Daphnia pulex: one gene and its partner. The protein of the gene in region 2 interacts with the protein of the main gene of each other region in a biochemical or structural test. Links are inferred from orthologs where the notes say so. Each region holds a gene or a part of one and is shown on either strand. Other genes may lie near its edges.

Region 1 (3,322 bases), on a different chromosome or scaffold from region 2:
CGACTTTGCCCAGTTCTCCAACATCACGCGCCAATTTTATTTCATATCGAAAATGAAGGAATCGTTGGGCAACAAATCAGCGACGACGACCAACAACAAAACCAACAACACTGGAAATAACAACAACCGATTGTGTGTCACCGTTCTAGGATCTACCGCCGTTGGCAAAACAGGTTTGTTAATTTTGAATTTTTATTTGGCGCTAATAAGTGGCGTGAATTAATTTATGCAAAATTTGATTAAACAGCGTTGACAGTTCAGTACCTGACGAGTCGATTCATCGGCGATTATTTCTCCGGGACCGACATGACTTATCACCACTCTTTCGCTTACATGGGAGGATCGCTGAAAACCAACGTCGACATTCTCGACATTTCACGGCCATCCCGCAATGACGTAAGTCGTCATCACGGCTCACATTTTCAATTTGAAAAGCTAATTGATTTTGGGTTATAATTAAAGGTGATTGGTGAAGATGAGGAAATGTTATCGTCAGTAGTCGGCACAGAAAAGTGCATGGCTTACCTGGTCGTCTATTCGCTGACCAATTCCAAAAGTTTCGATCGAGCTCGTGAAATCCTGTCCAGGTTACCTTTCCATTCGCCGAAATATTTGGTGGCCAACCAACTCGACCTCCAACACAGACGACAGGTATGTCGAATTTTTTTCCTATTCCAGGGATTTACATTTAATTTAATTTATTGAAATTTGTTCAGGTGTCGCGACTGGAAGGTCAAACCGCAGCCGATGAATTCGGTTGTCCATTTGACGAATTCTCAGCGGCCGAGCCGCAGTACGAAGGCCAACAGTGGGGAGTGAAAATTGTTTTCCAAAAGTTGATTCGCCAATTGATTTCCAATTCGCACGTTCTTCCATATCCGCGGATGATCCGCTTTTCGTCCTTTTCGAAAATGATTGGCGCCATCGTCTCCAAGACGCGCCACCACTCGGCCAATTCCAACAACAAATCGCAGCACCAACAGCAAAAGAATTTCGCCAACCAGCACAACCGCAAATCCTCCATGTCTTCGTGCAGCGACAGGAGCAGCAACTCGAGTGGCAACAACAGCACCGGAAGTGTCGATTCCATCGCCACACTCACGCCCGACATGAGTCTGTTGCACATCAACAGCGCCCATTTGATTCACGGAGTGAAATCTAAACCCATTCCCATCGTCCACCGAAAGCTTTTGACCAGCTCCAACTATCCGTCAAGTCAAATCGCCTCCATATGAATTATATATATCGATTTTATTATCATCATCAACATTTCTTATGACTGGCACAACCAAAATATCATGCAAAATGTACAGCTACAATATATGTATTTTGATACAAATTATTTATATCTATAAACTTTGAATACAAATTTTTTGAAAAGTTAATTACTGTTTTATTCTTTAAATTGTAGTAAGGTCGTATCCGTTGATCAAAACTGTTTTGCATTTTCAAACATTTTTGAAAATCCCGCCTATTCCGTCTGCTGGAAATCAGCTGATATTCCGACTGACTACGTTTTTCAGCTTGTTGTCATCAGTGTATTGCTCAATATTTGATTGGTAATAATAGCAAAATGGAGGACGTTCTAGACGAAAGTATTTCTGAAGAGGATTTGAAGGTACGTGTAACTCTGTAACAATTGTCATTTTCAATTTATAATGTTTGGACTCTTTGGCAGAAATTCGAGCGACGTTATCACGACAGTTTGACCCAGGGAACAGTAACTCAAGACATCCAGTTCAATTATTCCTGGGCATTGATCAGGAGTAAATATCAGGCAGATATCAAGCGAGGGATTTTTCTCTTGGAGGACTTGTCCAAAGGAGGAAATGATGAGGGCAGGAGAGACTACATCTACTACCTAGCCATTGCCAATGCCAAAATCAAGGTAATAAAAATGATCATACTTTTAGCACTTGAAGATGTCATAGTTGTCATATAAATTATCCTACACTTTGGAGAGATGACATTTTTGATCTATCCTAAAAATCGTGTTTGTTTGCTTTTGTTATTTGACAGGAGTACAGCAAAGCTTTGGGTTACACCAAAGTTCTGCTCCAAGTAGAACCAAATAATCGGCAGGTCAGAACTCTAAAAAATGTCATTGAGAAACGAATGGAAAGAGGTATGAAGTTCTTTTGTTGTGTGCACATCTTCATATTTTTAACCCTTTATTTATTTATTTTTCATAATTATTAACAGAGGGACTTAAAGGCATTGCCATCATAGGTGGAGCAGCATTGGCTTTGGGTAGTCTGATTGGACTGGGGGTAGCTCTGGCAAGGAAGTGATAGCGCTCATTAATGCCACGATACACTTCTTATTCTGTAATCCCTTTTGTCATGCAGATTTATGTTATGTGCTGAACTGCTGTGTTGAATCTGAATGTTGATATTTTCACTATCATAAAAATTTTCTTGTGGAAAACTATATTATACTTTCATTCCTTTCTTTTTGTTTTATTTTCATGAAATTCTAGTGTATCAGAAATGAAAGGTATAATGAACAATTACAGATTTACAGTACATTTAGTGTTGTTAATTGTGCGTTGGTTGCGTAAAAAACAAACACTAAAGCCGCACTAAATGCGCACAACAAAAGGTTGCCGAAACCGATTACTAGACATCTAGTAGCACACACACGATTGACACATGACATTTGACAGAAGCAGCCTTGAGGGCTCGCTACGTAGAATCAGATTCTGTGGGTAGAAAAACTTTCGGGCTTACCGTGGCTCCGGTGTAAATATGCCAATCTAACATGTTTTCATGTGTTGCAACATGTAACCTTTGCTCGAGTTAACTGCGTATGCCAACAAAATTACGTGTAGTTTTAGGGGACAACAGAGTAGGCGGCCAGACAAAGCAAAAGTATTATGATATTCCAATGGCAATGACTAAGACGGCCACGAAAGAAGTTTCCGAGAATGGCGCTGGCAAAGTAAACAGTTACAGAGATTTCACATCAACGATTCATAAACCAGCTGCTCAACAATTATTCATATGTCCAGGTATCGCCTTGATTATTTTTCAGACTCTTTAAAGTTGAAAAATGACATTTTTCCAATTCTGTAAACAGAAGTTTCTCTGAAATGGGGATGTGCAATCATCTTTATCCTGGCGTCAGTGTGCTATTTAAATTCAGTAAACGGGTCCTTTGTGTTTGACGACACAGAAGCAATAGTAAACAACGAAGATGCTAAAGGCAAGACTCCTCTCAACGAAATATTTTTCAATGACTTTTGGGGCACATCACTCAATCACAAGAGTAGTCACAAATCGTACCGACCATTGACCATTTTATCATTCAGGTATTTTCTATA
Region 2 (4,556 bases):
CTCAAGGGATTATTTATTTATGAGTTGACGTGAAAGACACATTTGACTTTAAAACTGACTCGAACCGAGTTTTATCGTCTGCTAGTTTGAAAACATAAACAATAGTTAACGGGATTGCCCGATTACAACATTCCGCCCTATATTTTTTCGGATTATTATTGATTATCAAGCCAGTAACGTAGTTGATCTAATTATTTCTTGGGCGAGGTAATAAATTCTTATTCATCTTTGCAACTGACGTTCTTAAAAAAGAAATAATAATTTTATGGGCCATAAAAATATTTTTTTATCTAACTGCACTTAAGCGTGTGGTTATACACCTTGAGACATTTTTATAAAGCAGCAGCAAGAGAACATCAAATAATGTAGATAAAATGCGTTATCATTTTTTTATTGATTATCTGACTTTCCCTTTTCGTTCTGCGTTCCATGCCCTTCAGTTTGGCGCATAGAGTTGCCGCAAAAATTGATTTTCGTCATCAAACTATTTCCTTACTGTCGCAATAGCCGAAGCGGATTTCTCCTTTTTTGGAATCAGCATATTAAATTTTCTTTTTCATATTTTCATATTTTTTATAATATTGCAGCTGATGATCAGTTTCTTTCGAGACCGCCAGGTGGCCATCGTCGAGTTCTTTCATTGGTCTACCGTTGTCTGCTTAATAAAGAGCGGAAAACTGTTAATAACGTACACTGAAGTAATATACGGATTAGTTAGAACCCCACGTTCAAATATATTCACGTGTGGTGAACAAGCCGATCTTCTTTAAGCATGGAACAATTAATTCCTGTCATCAACAAACTGCAAGATGTTTTTCACACAGTCGGAGCCGATACGATTCAGTTACCACAGATTGTTGTTGTCGGCACGCAGGTACAGTAACATTTCTTTTTTCGATTCAGTTCCATCTTTAAGGCAATAAATAATTGTAAATTTTGTTCTTTTCCCCCCCTGTAGAGCTCAGGAAAAAGTTCAGTCATTGAAGGGCTTGTAGGCAGAACATTCTTACCGAGAGGAACTGGAATTGTTACACGACGACCTTTAGTCCTGCAACTTATTTATACCCCACTAGAAGATAAAGAACATCGCTCTGCAGATGAAGGTTGTTTGTGCAATACTCTTTTCATCTCATTGCAATTATTTCAAGGTCAATATTTTCAGGGACACTACACTTGGAAGAATGGGCAAAGTTTCTGCATCTGAAAAACAAAATATTTACAGACTTTAGGGAAGTCTTGAGCGAAATTGAACATGAAACTGATCGGGTAGCAGGGCACAACAAGGGAATAGCCCATGAGCCCATGAGCTTGAAGGTGATTGATTAGACTCTATTTCTTTGTTATTGCCCCTGTATTAACTGTGATCTAATGTCATTGTGCAGGTTTACTCTACTAAAGTAGTCAATCTTACACTTGTCGATCTTCCTGGAATCACAAAAGTTCCAGTTGGGGACCAACCAGAGGACATTGAAGCAAAGATTTATGAACTTATTTTTAGTTTTGTCAGCAATCCCAACAGCTTGATTTTGGCTGTCACTCCAGCCACGACAGATTTGGCTACTTCTGAAGCCCTCAAACTTGCAAGAGAAGTTGATCCAGAGGGAAGGAGAACCTTAGCTGTCATGACCAAGTTAGATCTCATGGATGCAGGTGAGTTTTTAATGTTTCAACTTCAATTATCTCTTCAGCTGGGGCTTAAAGTTTGAATTTTTTTAATTCTTTCAGGAACTGATGCCATAGATGTCCTGTGTGGCAGAGTTATTCCAGTTAAACTCGGCATTATTGGATTAGTCAACCGGTCTCAAAAAGACATACAAAATAACAAGGTAAATGCTCGACGCTATATACACATTGATTAGGTTTCTGGAGAAGTAACTTTTTCTATGTAAACCAGAGCATCGAAGAAGCGTTAAAAGATGAAATGAGCTTTCTCCAGCGCCGCTATCCCACTTTGGCAACCCGCAACGGAACGGCCTACTTGGGGAAAACCCTGCAACGACTCTTGATGCACCACATCCGCGACTGCCTCCCTGAGCTCAAAACAAGAGTCAATTTGATGATGTCACAATTTCAAGCGCTACTTCACTCGTATGGAGATCAAGTCAGAGATAAAAGTCAAACTTTGCTTCAAATCATCACCAAGTTTGCCTCGTCGTATTGCGCCACGATCGAAGGCACGGCCAGGAATATTGAAACCACCGAACTGTGAGTGACATTTATCAATTCTCGACAAACCAAATTCTTGCTAATAGTTCAGTCTTGCAGGTGTGGTGGTGCGAGGATTTGTTACATCTTCCACGAAACGTTTGGAAGGACTTTAGATTCTATTCATCCACTATCTGGTTTAACCACATTAGATATACTCACTGCTATTCGCAATGCAACAGGTCCCAGGCCTGCCTTATTTGTCCCAGAGGTAAAACAAAAACTTGTCCTTTATACATCATGCAATGCATTAACATGATTTATTTTACAAGGTTTCTTTTGAATTGTTGGTGAAACGTCAAATTCGTCGCCTCGAAGATCCTTCGCTGCGGTGCATTGAATTGGTTCACGAGGAGATGCAAAGAATCATTCAACATTGCGGCACGGAAGTTCAACAGGAAATGCTCCGCTTCCCTAAACTTCACGAGAAAATTGTTGACGTAGTCACTACACTGTTGAGACAGCGTCTTCCTCCCACCAACATCATGGTAAATACCGGTGGGGGTAAACTTGTTGTCCGCTCTGATTGAGAATCACGTTTGTTGTTTTAGGTTGAAAACCTTGTCGCCATTGAGCTCGCTTATATCAACACCAAACACCCCGACTTTCACCGTGAAGCTTCGCTCGTATCGACGCTAATGCATTCTCACATTGAAGAGCCTGTCTCTCAAAAAGTTCAACCATCCAGACAAGTTTCGTCGAAAAAACAACCAGTGCTCTTCCCTCCGGCTATTCCCAACGGCGAGGCTGCTTCTCCGTCTAGAGAAGTACGATTTCGATAACATTTTGATTCCAAAAGTTTTGTCCGTCACAAAAGATGTTGTTGTTGCTGCCACCGACAGATTCGCGTTCAGAAGACATCAGTCTCGTTGATTGATAGCAACGGTGGTGGTGCTCCTTTTGTACAACAAACCAATTGGCTGAGCAATTTGCTTCCGGCCGGACGAGAGGACTTGATGATGAACGATAATTCTGGTGAAAACACCCCGGCCGCGACGCCTACTCATCACGCATCACCCGTTCCACTTCAGAACCCTTTCGGGCATCAGAAACCGGTGAATCTGCTCTCGGAAGCTGTGCACCAACCCGAGCGAAAGTTGTCTGAGCGAGAGAAGAGGGATTGTGAAGTTATTGGTATACTACTACGTCAAACTTTATATTTTCCAGTTGAACAACGTCCCAATTAAAAAACAACTCATCTTTTCTTCTCCTTAGAGCGACTGATTAAAACCTACTTTTACATCGTCCGTAAATCGATCCAAGATTCCGTGCCGAAAGCTGTGATGCACTTCCTGGTCAATCACGTCAAGGACAACTTGCAGTCGGAATTGGTAACTCACCTCTATCGCCCCGATCAAATTGATTTATTGCTGGCCGAGTCGGAGCACATAGCTCAGCGCCGCAAAGAAGCTGCGGATATGCTCGAGGCACTTCAACGAGCCAGCGTGATTATCGGCGAGATTCGGGAGACCCATTTTTGGTGAAGTTTATACTCTCTCTAAATTCTTTTCGATTGTAGTGTGCTCTCCGTTATACGTGATCTAGTCTTTTTTTCTTCTTCTGTCACTCGATCGCTCATACAAAAAAAAAATTAAAATTTTTCTAGGGCTCCCCCCCCCCCCTCCTTTTTTTTCGTCCAGTTGTAGTCTGTTCCCAACTATTTTGCGAATTAGACATCTGAGAGATGGGCATAGAATATCGTAAAATCTCCTCCAGTTAGTATTTTTCATTCCACATTTACAAATGTAGTCCGATGTATGTTATTCTTTTTTTTTTAATTATTATTTTCAGTACAATAAAATAATGTTGAAATGATGGGAGGGAAAAACGTAAAATATTTCCAACTGTAGATGACCAAACTATTTAGCCCCTTTTTTTTTTAAATTTTGCCAATAGATTTTAGTGATGTTTATTATTTTTTTCTGTAATTGGCCTTCGGAGCATGTAAAGGGCAACCAGTTGCGCAGTCATGTTTGATTTCGGCATGTTTTTATCACCGTCCATTTTTAATCCAGTAGGAAATTCGTCATCGATTGACTCGTCGTCGGTTAATTCCACGAATGCCTAGTGCTGTATCTTTTTTCTTTAATGCGAAGATAAAAAAAAGAACTCTAGTCCAGCCCCTCCCGTCATCAGTGTTTTGTGTTGCCCAACTGTCGACGGGTCGGCCGGTTTTTGGGATATTTTCGTGAGATTAGTCGGCAAAGAAACGATAACGACGAATAATCAGGACGAATTACTCCTTTTCAAGTGTTTCACGGTTCACCTCCCTAATTTTTAGTGAATCCATTTGGCTGGTTAATTTTCTTCTTTTCAGGGTGAATTGAATAGCTTCGTTTTTCAGATGAGGC

The links.
Region 1: the proteins of dynamin-1-like protein (region 2) and mitochondrial fission 1 protein-like form a complex in vitro, tested with the Homo sapiens proteins (2 studies listed by BioGRID). The link is inferred for Daphnia pulex from reciprocal best matches to the Homo sapiens genes DNM1L and FIS1.

What each region holds. Positions count from the first base shown.
Region 1 is NC_060026.1:16,282,029-16,285,350, forward strand, and holds mitochondrial fission 1 protein-like, read left to right. Parts: upstream 1-1,470; 5' UTR 1,471-1,573; coding exon 1,574-1,618; intron 1,619-1,678; coding exon 1,679-1,888; intron 1,889-2,019; coding exon 2,020-2,125; intron 2,126-2,202; coding exon 2,203-2,291; 3' UTR 2,292-2,524; downstream 2,525-3,322. Other genes in the region: ras-related and estrogen-regulated growth inhibitor-like protein, read left to right, coding at 1-173, 248-396, 463-651, 717-1,235; protein O-mannosyl-transferase TMTC4-like, read left to right, coding at 2,809-3,010, 3,079-3,310. UniProt on the Homo sapiens protein: Involved in the fragmentation of the mitochondrial network and its perinuclear clustering. Plays a minor role in the recruitment and association of the fission mediator dynamin-related protein 1 (DNM1L) to the mitochondrial surface and mitochondrial fission.
Region 2 is NC_060025.1:9,333,599-9,338,154, forward strand, and holds the end of dynamin-1-like protein, read left to right. Parts: exon of another isoform or gene 1-298; intron 299-587; 5' UTR 588-772; coding exon 773-874; intron 875-958; coding exon 959-1,103; intron 1,104-1,162; coding exon 1,163-1,314; intron 1,315-1,382; coding exon 1,383-1,650; intron 1,651-1,725; coding exon 1,726-1,826; intron 1,827-1,894; coding exon 1,895-2,205; intron 2,206-2,265; coding exon 2,266-2,416; intron 2,417-2,477; coding exon 2,478-2,693; intron 2,694-2,756; coding exon 2,757-2,972; intron 2,973-3,047; coding exon 3,048-3,339; intron 3,340-3,420; coding exon 3,421-3,689; 3' UTR 3,690-4,020; downstream 4,021-4,556. UniProt on the Homo sapiens protein: Functions in mitochondrial and peroxisomal division.